Callithrix jacchus: one gene and its partners. The protein of the gene in region 3 binds, or shares a complex with, the protein of the main gene of each other region. Links are inferred from orthologs where the notes say so. Each region holds a gene or a part of one and is shown on either strand. Other genes may lie near its edges.

Region 1 (3,745 bases), on a different chromosome or scaffold from region 3:
TAAAGACTACTGCGCCTCCTGCCCCCAGCACAATAAAAGTAATTGAATGGTGGCGGGAGGGTGTTACTGCTCTTCCTTCACTGAAATGAGTCATTTGCCCTCTCACCCTAACACCACTCACTATCAGCAACAAAAGAGCCACAACTTCTAAGCTTCATCAGAGTTGGAGGTGGAGGTGATTCCAAAATCAGAGATGGAGGTGTCAATTTCTATTTAGGAGAGAGAGAAGGCTGCAGATGGCAGGGGTTGCACAGGATGGAAAGTCAGGAAACCTGCAGCTAAAGTGCCCGGGATGGAGGACTGATTGAACTTGGCCCTTCTGTGCAGGTCTTATGTTGGGCAGTGGAGACATAGAAAGCAGTCAGACTCCAGAAACCCGAGTCTGCTCTGTAACCTAGGCGAAGTTCTGATTCAGGGCCCAAACCTCCCCTTTGGAAAACAAAGATGACACTTGCTTTCCTCATTAAAGAGAGGGCAGCCATAAGCTTTGAGAAAAGCTGCCCAGGCCAAATATCAATTAATGTCTCGTGCAGGACGCGCTGTTCCCCCTCGGGTCGTCTGCCTTTGTTTGGGCTTCTCTTTCTCGTCTGTAAAAGGACCCGACTGGCCTGCATAACCTCATGAGCCTGAACCCTGCCTCAGTCACACCGCCCTGCACAGCAGAAGTCCGAATTCCACCTTACCCCCAGCTCGGCCCTTCATGGCCTCACCTGTCGGCGGGGCGTAAGCCCGGGCTGGAGACAGGATGGTTAGCCCCGGACTCTTAGAAGCGCTGGGGCCACCCGCAGGCCGATTCAGGAGGCGGCGTCCCCCGTCCCGCAGCCGGTGACAGCTCCTCCACATCGCGCCCGATAGTCTGGGAGGATGCGCAGCGTGAAACCTAGAGCAGGAAACGGAGCGAAGGGACCTCCAAAGCCGCACGATCGGGCTGTACGGAAACCTCTCACCGCCCCCTCAGAGCCCGCAGCCTCCCCTGGATGCCGCCATCTTCCACATGACACCAACGGCGTGCCGTCGCCGCCGCACGCCTCCTGCGCACACCCCCAGTCAATTAGCATCACAAACGCGCCTCGCTCCGCCCCCTCCACGCCGCGCCTCAGCGAGAAGACCACAAGTCCCAGCGGGCCGCTCGCGCACCCCACCACGTGCTTTCTCCTCCCGCCAATGGGTGGAAGCGCCGTGTAAACCTGTTCCCGCCCTCACCGGCTCGCCCGAGCCAATCGGAAGGGGCGGGGTGTGTGTTTGTGCGTGCGCGCGCGTGCGTGTGTGTGTGTGTCTGTGTGTGTGTGTGTGTGTCTGTGTGTGTGTATGTGTGCGCGAGGGCAAGTCGGGAGGGGGACCCAGCTCAGGACTGGGAGGCCCTGCTCTCAGGTCCCTGGGTCGCGGTGGCGGCCGAAGCGCTTAGTTTGCATACAGCGGACGGGTGGTCGCCCCTCCCGCCCCCACCCTGCGCGTGCGCGCCTCGGCCTCTCCCTCCCAGCCACCCTCCTTGGCTCCCGCGCGGCGGCGGCGGTTCCTCTCCCACTCCCCCCAGCCCTGGCTCCGGGGGACCCCGCGATGCCGGTCCGCACCGAGTGTCCCCCGCCAGCCGGTGCCTCGGCTGCCTCCGCGGCCTCACTCATCCCGCCGCCGCCCATCAACACCCAGCAGCCCGGCGTGGCCACCAGCCTGCTCTACAGCGGCTCCAAGTTCCGCGGCCACCAGAAGAGCAAGGGGAACTCGTACGACGTAGAGGTGGTGCTGCAGGTGAGCGCCGGGCCGGGCCGGGGCCCGAGGGCCTCCTCGCGGCGCTCACGGGCCGTGCCCGTCTCGGCTCCTCGAGCCGGCAGCCGCGGAGCAGGCCCTCGTCGCCGGGGCCTCCTGCACCCGGCGCTTCCCACCCGGGACCTGCCCAGCCTGTGCCTCACACTCTCCGAGCCCCAGCCCTGACCTGCCCCCTCAGATCCAGAGCCCGTCAAGACCCGCTTCTGGCGGACCCCGAACACTCTCCCAGACTTGAAGCCGGTGACCGGCCGGTCCGGGATCCGGAAGCCCCCATGACTCGGGGAAGGCCCGGGTCCTCCCTCCTCATGACCTGCCGTCCCTACATCAGGGACTGCCACGAGCCCTTTTCAGACCCTGAAGAACTCTCCATTGGTTTCACCAGACTCTGGACACTCCCCGTGTCTGGGCCCATGTCAGATTCAGAACTGAGTCCTGCCCTCCCGCCTCTTCCTCAGTCCCAGGAATCCGCAGACCCTGGGGGCTTCCTCTTCCTGAGATCTCCTTAGGAGGGCTTCATCAGACCCCTCAGACGGGGGAACACCAAACGCACCACTGATTGGTCAGGCCCTGGCCCCACCTCAAGACCAGACACTCACTCCCTGAGTGCTGCTCACAGTCTGCTGGGATCTTGCCTCCTGGGTCCCCTGTTCCACTCGCTGCTTCCCTCTCTTCATGCTCCAGGCACCCAGCCCCTTCCAGCTGCTCCACCTCCCAGCCTCCTGCCCCTGCTCTGGGACCACTTGCAGTCTTCTAATCTTCCTGGCATCTGTCCAGATTCCCCACCCCATATCTTCGTCTTGCTCGATCCTGGTTCCAGGGGACCCTGTTTGCTGTTCTTAACTTTTCTCTACACAGGCACAGGGCTTCCTCCCAGTGTCTGAGACCCATGTACTGGGAAATCTAACTCACCCAGTTTTAGTTCATGTCCAGCAGCCTCCCTGCATTTGACCTGGATTCCTGAATACCTGCTGCCAGTTCCTGATCAGCCTTGGAAGTACAGCTTCACCTGTGTGGGCCTTTCCCACACCTCACTCCTCTCAGGCCTGACACTTTTTGCCAGCTGAAATACTGCCCCCCGGGTGTGAGGGTGAAATGTACAGTGTATCTGTTCCTCAAGCTTGCCTTTTGACGGGTTAAAACTCTAAATCTTAGTTTTACTTCTGAAGAGTAGGTATCCCATTCAAAAGACAATGAGGGTGCCTTTTCTTTCTGCTATCTGCAGAGCAGGCATCACTCTTTCATTCTCATACTGCTGTGTGGGAGTAAATAGTTTTCTCTGCTTACTTGAAACAGCATCATCATGTTAATTTTATCTTTGGTCTGTAAAGTTCTAACATGAACCACAATCTTTATTATAATGGAAAAACTATTGTGGTTGAAATATTTTTGTCTTCATAACTATATGCCTAATGTGGTGATCCTCTTCTTGTTTTCTTAAAATGTGAACATCATTTCGGTTTGTTTTGCACCTAATCAGAATTCTGGAGGTGAGAACCCAGGGTGGGTCATGTTTGGGATGGTGTTGGATTTGTCCCCATTGTTGAGTTTGATGGTTTCTCATGTAGTAGGGGATAATTGGCAGGGTAGCCAGGTGTCAAAGGGGAGTCTGCTTTGACAACTGCAGCAACTACTGCTCCCTTCTGTCATTTGGGTGTCACTTCTGAGCTCCTGTCAGAAGGAGAATCGTGAACCAGTGGAAGCGGTGATTGAGTTGGGACAGGGCTGATAGGTCTCAGGCAGCTCAGAGCAGAAACCTGGCAGATGGCTGGGAGCCACTTGAGTAGGAAGTCTGCTGGTGGGGATGGTGGTCATGCCAAGGAATGCTGCCCTACATCTGGATTGGGGAGCTGCTTGGTCATCATCACGACTACTTAGTGGTATGTGAATTGCCCCATCAGCTGGTTTTTCAGTCAGGACTAGTTTCTCAGATACAGCCTTCTTAGACACAAAATACTTCTGCCTTTTACAACTCTCCTTCCTT
Region 2 (3,745 bases), on a different chromosome or scaffold from region 3:
ATGCTGAACATGTGTGCTCCTTACAACCCAGCAATTCTTCTTTTAGTACATTTATATTCTAGAAAAACTCACCAGAACGCAGCAAACACAGAAAACCCTGTTCCCGGCAGCACTGTTCAAATTGGCAGAAGTGTGGAAGCCACCCACCTGCACAGAACCACACTGCATGTTAAAACCCTTGGGCAGATGTGTTTTGAATTTGGAATACTTCAATGTACAGTGATATTTGGTGCCATTCACCATGGAACAGCCTCCGTGGGGTTTGGGGGAGTTCCCCACCATTAGAATCTACTTCTTTAGTGAAATGTGTGAGTATCCACACGAAGCAGCAGGGCTATTAAACTTTCTGCTGAGGTTTGGGCCAAACGAAACCATAAACTTTGGTGTCAGAGATGTTTAGACTTTAGCATTGCTGAGAAAGTTCTGTGGTCATGTACTCACACAAGAGAATTTCATAAAGCAGATAATGTCACACAAAGTCACAAAGATGACTGTCATACAACAATGCTGAATGAAAAAAGCAAGTTGCAGGAGAGGCCAAATGTGGCGTATTTTATAAGGAACAAGATAAAATACATGATGCATGCTTTAGCAACAAATATGTGGCCAAACTATTTTGTTTCTTAAAATAGGGGCATGAAAGCTGACACTCAGGAGGGGTTACCTGTGGGAGGGGCAGATGTCTAAAGCCCAAGAGGCAGCTGTTCCAGCTTTGGGAGAATGGCTGGGTACCTGAGATGGGCAGTGGTCACACCACTGTCCACTCTGTCTTCATCTTTTGTCACTGATATATGTGTTACAGATGCTACTTTATACAAAGGACTGCTAAAGTGCTTCAGTAAATTAAATAACTAAAAGATGATTTTGGTCTCCTGGCTGAAAAAAGGATGAATGCAGGGTGGTGAGAACGGACCAGCAAGTCCATTAAGGAGACACTCAAGTGAGAGAGGACATGGAGAAGAGACGGAGAGACAGGTAAGATCAGGACGCTTTGGTCATGGAATCAGTGGCTGCTGCTGGACAGAAGATGACGGGACAAAAGAAAGGGAAGAACTGAAGATGGTCACAGGTTTCAAGCATGAGAGGCCTTGGAAGATGGGGCCACAAATAAGGAGGAAGGACTGGGAGAAGAACAGGTTTGAGAAGCAGGGCAAGTTTGAGGTGACTATTAGACAGATATGCAGCTGGAGAAATCAAGCAGGTGTCTGGATTCCAGATCCTGAGCTCAGTGCTGGAAACATTAATTAGGAAAATAGGGCGGGGGACGGGGATATTTAAAGCTAAGAATTCAGCAAAGACCACCCAGGGAGAGCGTACCTAGGGAATGAGAATCGTCATTACTTAGAGGATGCCAGCCTTGAAGGTCAAGCAGAGGAAATGGCACCAGCAGAAGAAAAGTTGCTGTGGAGAAGCAGGTAAGGTGGAGTGACCAGGATCTGCCGTCACGCACCAACACCCACCTCCTGCACTTAGTCAACTGCAAAACTCACTGAGACCAAATTTTTATCCATGACAATCAAAGGTAACTTAAGGACCATTTAAAGTCAGGATATTGCTTTGTTGCCCAGGCTGGAGGGCAGTGGCGCGATCTTGGCTCACTGTAGCCTCGACCTCCTGGGCTCACGATCCTCTCACCTCAGCCTCCTCAGTAGCTGGGGCTACAGGTGCGCACCACCACGCCTGGCTAATTATTTTGTTTTTGGCAGAGACCGGGGTCTCGATGTTGCCCAGGCTGGTCTCGAACTCGCGGGCTCAAGTGACCCGCCCACTTCGACCTCCGCCACCGCGCCCGGCCCCGGCCCTAGGTCCCACATTATGAGCTCCCTAGGAAAGGCACCTTTTCCCTTGGCCCATTCGGGGATCGGGACTCAGTGCGCTTCCACTCCCGGGCAGTTACGTGCGTCCATGAAAAGCAACAACTTTGGAGAACTGGCCCGTCCGGTTTGCGGGAAGAACTCGGTAGTCTCAAACTCCGCATAAAAAGATTCAGCAGGAGGAGACACCCTGGGTGCCGAAGACTCCTGCTTTCCACGCCACGCTTTACATCCTCACCCGCTCGGCTTCTGCTTTCAACCGGCAGATTTTGTTTAAAAACCACGTTACAGACGCCGCTCCACAGAGACAGCGACCGCCCCTGAACGCCAGCGCCTGGGGCCGCGCGCCTGGAGGCTGATCCCTGACTGCCCTCAACTCTGCACCAGCTCGCGCCAGCGCACCGAAGGCCGCTAGAGCGGAGGCCGCGCGCACCCCGGCCGCGTCCCGCCTGCCCCGGCTCCGGGAGACGCTCGGCCCGGACGCCCGGGCCCGCCGCCGCCATCTTACCGTGCGAATCCTGTCTCCCGCGCTGCGCGGTCTGGGCAGCGGCGGCGGCGGCTCCGCAACCGCTCCTGGGCCGGGGAGGAGCGGCGGCAGCCGGGGCGCCTGAGTAGAAGGAGGCGGAGGCGGGGGCCGCGGCGGAGGCGGGGGCGGGGGCGGGGAGCGGAGGGAAGGGGCACCGGCGGCCGCCCCTCAGCACCTCTCGCGACAGCACGAGAGCGCGAGAGCGCGAGCAGACGACCAATGGAGCGCCCCCACGAAGGGGCGGGACCGACAGCCTCCCGGAAGAGCGGGAGCTCAGCTTCCGTCCTTGCGCACAACTCTCTTCGCGGCAACCTCGCGCTACGGGTTGGCGCGAGAGTCAAAAGGCGTCGGCCGCCTTTGGGTAAGATGGCTGCTGCGGAGGCGTTGGAGTGTGGAAACCTGGAGCAAGGATGGCGACGTCTGCACTGAGTCAAAGGCGAAGGTCTCAGCTCTTTTCCTGTCGTTTGCGTGAGGCCGGACGGGGTGGGGCGGAGGAAGGGCGTCGGGTATCCGCGGTCGCCCCAGAGACGTGGAGGAAGTCCCCTCCCGACCGGCGGCCTGCCAGGACTGGTGTCCCTGAGGCCCCGGGAGAGGCCGCGGACCCGAGGCCTGGCCGGGCGGGAGCCGTGGTCTCTGCTCGCGGAAGTGATTCCTTGGCTTTATCCGAGATGTTACTGAGCGCGTCCTCACTCGAGGCCAGGTGGGGAATCCGGAGGTCGCTGCCCTCCCTGAGGTCGCGCTGTAGGGGCCGGACGCGGCCCGGGCGCGCGGGACAAAGGAGACCCCGCTGGCTTGCGGGGCGGAGTCCCAGCGGCGGCGCGGGCAGGGCCGGGGGGCTCAGTGAGGCCGCACTTGGGTGTGTGAGCGTTTTCTTGCTTGTTGCCGTCCGCTCGGGAGGAACGCACGCTCCGGCATTGCGGGGTCCCCTGTTTCCGCGGCTGGGAAGTAACTTAGAGTATTTGATGGAGCCGGAGGAAGAAAGAGTCCTTGAGGGGCGGCCGCCGGTTTCATCTGAGGCGTCCAGGGAACGCCTCTGAAGCGCGGTCGGGGTGACGGGTTTCGCGCGGTTGCTGGCGGGTGACCTGAGTAACGCGTAAGGCACGCCGGTCGGGCTGCTCGGCCTCAGTCAGTCCCGTTCGGCAAAGAGGCTGGAAAAAGACGACCGGTTTTGGACATTTTCCGTTAATCGAAAGAGCTCAATCGAAAGAGCTCAATCGACAGGTCTAAGGTCTTGACAGAATTTTGCTTGATAACGCAGAGGCAGTACATGTCGGTAATTACGTCATTTGCAACTGCTTAACCCTACGGAAACAGTTCTTGATCTTTATTTTATTTATTTATAGACAAGAGTCTCACTTTGTCGCCCAGGCTGGAGTGCAGTGGCGCGATCTCGGCTCACTGCAAC
Region 3 (3,645 bases):
GACTCTGTCTCAAAAAAAAAAAAGAAAAAAAAGAATGCCGAAGAAATTAAAAGTTGAAAGGTTATCTGGCTAGAACCGCAGATAAGAAAGAAGACTTAGCTCAAGCTTCCCAGTCAATGACATCACAAGAGCTATGCTTCCCAAGAAGGAATGTGCATGCAAATTCCCAGGAGATGTTCTTAATGTACTTTGATACTGTAGGTCTGGGGTAGGATCCTAAGAGTCAGCTTCCAAATGAGGCTGATGCCATTGGCCTACAGACTCTACTTTGAGCAAAGAATGGTGAAGTACATAGCAGCTAAGATAGAAAAGGTAGAGAAGTAGATTAAAAAGTCTCTATTAGGCTCCTAAAGCTATTTCCACCTCCTTCTTTTCCTCTAATGTTCTTGCATTCCTCAATTTCCCTCAGTTACAATAGCCCCCATCCCATTTTTTCATATCTGCCCCCTTTCTGTTAATTGTGTCTATATATCTACAGTTTACAGATGATTAAATAAGGCAAAGAACAATTATTGAATACAAAATTTACCCAAAATCACCCACCTAATAAACACAATTTCAAACTAGAAATCCTGCCATCTTCTTACTGGACTACCTACCCCATCTCTATTCTACAGCCTGAGTTGCTCAAACAGCTGGCTTTTATACACCCCAACTCATAGAAGTCAATTAATACACTGAAACACTGCTGCTAGTTATTCCCCAATCCAACTCTTTACAAATTCTCCACTGTCTCTGAGGTATAAAATATCTGAGGCACAAAATTGAGATGATTCATAATTTAGATATTCTATCTAAATTTAACCTCCCTGGGTCTCAATTTTTCTCATGTAAAACAGTTGGCATAGACCAGAATTTTCCAAATTGTGCACCATGATCCATTAGTAGGACAAAAATCAGTTTAGAGAGTGAGGTGGGAGGAGTTAAAGTAGTTGGCCAGGATCAACTTCTCCCCTTATTATGGGATTGAGGGTAGGTGAGAAACTTCCAGGGTAAATAAGACAGGTGACTGGCTTAATCTCTGCAAACATTACCATATGAACTACAGGAAAATAAACTGATATTTACTAAGTCCTCTATGGAAAGCTTTAAGCAGGATGTCTACAGTAAAGTAGTAACTCTTAAAGAGAGAACCTGGAAATTTGTTAGAAATGCAAATTCTCAGGCCACACCCAAAACTCACTGGATCAGAAACCGGAGGTGGGGTTTAGCAATCCCTGTTTGACAAGCCCTCCACGTAATTCTAGTGCAACCTCAAATCTGAGAACCACTGCAGTAAACAATCTATAGATATATGAGGTATGACTCCCTGAAGAATCTCACATAAAACTATGAGGTATAAAATAAAGATGTTAGGCCACGTGCAGCAGCTCACACCTGCAATCCTAGCAGTTTGGGAGGCCAAGGCAGGCGGATCATGAGGTCAGGGGTTCAGGACCAGGCTGGCCAACATGGTGAAACCTCGTCTCTACTAAAAATACAAAAAAAATTAGCCGGGCATGGTGGCATGCACCTGTAATCCCAGCTACCCAGGAGGCTGAGGCAGGAGAATCACCTGAACCTGGTAGGCAGAGGTTTCAGTGAGTCAAGACTGAGCCACTGCACTCCATCATGGGTGACAGAGCAAAGCTCCCTATCAAAAATAAATAAAATAAAAGAATTTTCATAATTTAGGTGCTCCCTATGTGAGGTAACCCATAAATCTCATCTACCGACCACCTTATGTATCATTAAGGGCCAGCGGAGTATGTGTCTGATGTAGAAAGGACAGGCTAGGGAGCCATGTGACATGTCTCTTCTCTATGCTTGCTTTGCCTATGCCTCTTTATTACTTCTAGTCTTGAAATACTTAAAAAGCCTAATTCTGGGTAAGATCTCTGACTCCTGTGTGCACAATTTAACAACATAATTTGTTATGTTGGCTCAGATAATCACAATCACCATTTTTTTGAAGAATGAAAAATGACAACACAGAAACCAGAGGGCATTTCATCTGTGGAACTATGTCAAGAAACTTGTCTCAGGATTCTTTCACATATACATACATACCTACATACACACACACACACACACAAATTCACATGTATAGTGAGGCAAGAACTCAAACAGTTTTTGAGACTTTATTTATTAGAGTCAGAGTCTGTACTGTCACCCAGGCTGGAGTGGGGTGGTGATCTCCAATCACTGCAATGTCTGTCTCCTGGGTTCAAGTGATTTTCATGGCTCAGCCTCCCAAGAAGCTGGGGTTGCAGCTATGTGCCACCATGTACAGTTAATTTTTGTAGTTTTAATGGAGACGGAGTTTCACCGTGTTGGCCAGTCTGGTCTTAACTCCTGGCCTCAGGTACTATATCCGCCTTGACCTCACGAACTCCTAGGATTACAGGCGTGAACCACCACACCTGGCAGAGACTTTTATTATTTTTTTGTTTTAAGTTACAGGATCTTGCTCTGTCACACAGGCTGAGGTGCAGTGGCACCTCATAGCTTACTATAACCTCAAACTCCTAGACTCAAGCAATCCTTCCACTGCAGTCTCATGAGTAGCTAGGACTATAGGCATGCACCATTGCACCAGGCTAATTTATTTTTATTTTTATTTTTTTCATTAGAGATGGAGTCTTGTTACATCACTCTGGTTGGTCTTGAACTCCTGGCCTCGAGCAATGCTCCCACCTCAGCCTCCCAAAGCACCGAGATTACAGGTGTGAGCCACCATGCCCAGCTGAGGCTTTTTTATACAACATAGTTATGATGAGTCTAAAGATGCCAAGCAAATTAGGAGTAGGCTGTTAGTGAAATGCAACTAATATCTCAAATACATCTAAAACTCACTGTATACAGTAGCTCCTCTGGAGTGACAGGACTGGTGAAAATGGTGCGCAGGCATCGGAGACAAGCTTCAATAAACTTCAGGTCTGGGGACAGTAGTCCTATTAACAGAAACTAAATTTAGGACTAATCCTCTCAACCAGTATTTAAAGTACTGTAAACTGATTCTTATCTTTACTTGAGCAAAAAATGGCTTCCCTACATACCTTGCAATAAGGCAGGGATAATATGGCAGTCCAGTAGAGACTTGACATTGTTTTCAGTACCCATAGCAAGACTTCCCAACACCACTGCACATTCAGTTTTCAGCTCTGTGGTTGAGGTTTCTTGCTGAAGCAAGTACAACAATCTAAAAAGAAGGAACTTAATAAACAAAAAGACTAAAAAAATTTAATCAAGGCTCAATGTGACCAAAAAAGGCTGTGCAGTCCACATAATAAAAACATGATTGGTTGAGTTTATATTAATTCAATGGTCATTTGTTTATCTCATCTGCTAATTAAAGAAAGAAACATCTGGAAAAAAATCTAGAAGAGGTTTTGAAAAAAAGAACTATCATATTCTCAGGGTTTATCAAAAGTGTACATCTGAAAGTTGTCCACAAGTGGTCTCTGTAGAAACAGCATCATCAGAGTCCACATCATCTACCACTTCCTGTTGGGTCTCCAAAATATGAAGACTCTCAATCAAATGCCATGTGCTGCCAGATCTTATATTCAAACTAGAAATCTAGAAATGCTACTGCTCTGAATCTAGAGCAGAAGTGCAGTTTGTAGAGATAGAGCCTAGAGGGAATCTATAAAGCCCTTGTGC

The links.
Region 1: the proteins of ARMC8 (region 3) and GID4 are in contact, whole or in part, in a cryo-EM structure (PDB 7NSC), measured with the Homo sapiens proteins. The link is inferred for Callithrix jacchus from reciprocal best matches to the Homo sapiens genes ARMC8 and GID4. Residues at the interface, in NP_001350870.1 of Homo sapiens: Glu309, Pro310, Asp311, Val312, Asn371, Glu373, Arg406, His409, Arg413, Ser414, Val415, Gln416, Arg419, Thr420, Gln423, Asp424, Val444, Ser448, Cys451, Asn452, Leu455, Phe457, Ala483, Val486, Asn487, Trp490, Met493, Asn494, Phe497, Gln498; in NP_076957.3 of Homo sapiens: Leu104, Ile105, Pro106, Pro107, Pro108, Pro109, Ile110, Gln114, Pro115, Gly116, Val117, Ala118, Thr119, Gly125, Gln146, His147, Tyr154, Cys156, Tyr158, Phe174, Glu176, Phe239, Val241, Pro242, His244, His292, Ser293, Ala294, Pro295, Ile296.
Region 2: the proteins of ARMC8 (region 3) and GID8 are in contact, whole or in part, in a cryo-EM structure (PDB 7NSC), measured with the Homo sapiens proteins. The link is inferred for Callithrix jacchus from reciprocal best matches to the Homo sapiens genes ARMC8 and GID8. Residues at the interface, in NP_001350870.1 of Homo sapiens: Asn45, Val47, Ile48, Gly49, Asn50, Val85, Ser89, Met92, Arg127, Arg130, Arg161, Tyr162, Tyr166, Leu200, Ser201, Tyr202; in NP_060366.1 of Homo sapiens: Ile83, Ala84, Asn87, His90, Pro91, Glu92, Leu94, Asp95, Thr96, Tyr101, Tyr183, Glu184, Asn185.

What each region holds. Positions count from the first base shown.
Region 1 is NC_133506.1:69,115,478-69,119,222, reverse strand, and holds the start of GID4 (glucose-induced degradation protein 4 homolog), read left to right. Parts: upstream 1-1,236; 5' UTR 1,237-1,308; coding exon 1,309-1,746; intron 1,747-3,745. Other genes in the region: ATPAF2 (ATP synthase mitochondrial F1 complex assembly factor 2), read right to left, coding at 711-843.
Region 2 is NC_133506.1:58,465,742-58,469,486, reverse strand, and holds the start of GID8 (glucose-induced degradation protein 8 homolog), read right to left. Parts: upstream 2,531-3,745; 5' UTR 2,323-2,530; intron 1-2,322. UniProt on the Homo sapiens protein: Core component of the CTLH E3 ubiquitin-protein ligase complex that selectively accepts ubiquitin from UBE2H and mediates ubiquitination and subsequent proteasomal degradation of the transcription factor HBP1.
Region 3 is NC_133518.1:46,106,139-46,109,783, forward strand, and holds part of ARMC8 (armadillo repeat-containing protein 8), read right to left. Parts: intron 3,182-3,645; coding exon 3,039-3,181; intron 2,934-3,038; coding exon 2,836-2,933; intron 1-2,835. UniProt on the Homo sapiens protein: Component of the CTLH E3 ubiquitin-protein ligase complex that selectively accepts ubiquitin from UBE2H and mediates ubiquitination and subsequent proteasomal degradation of the transcription factor HBP1.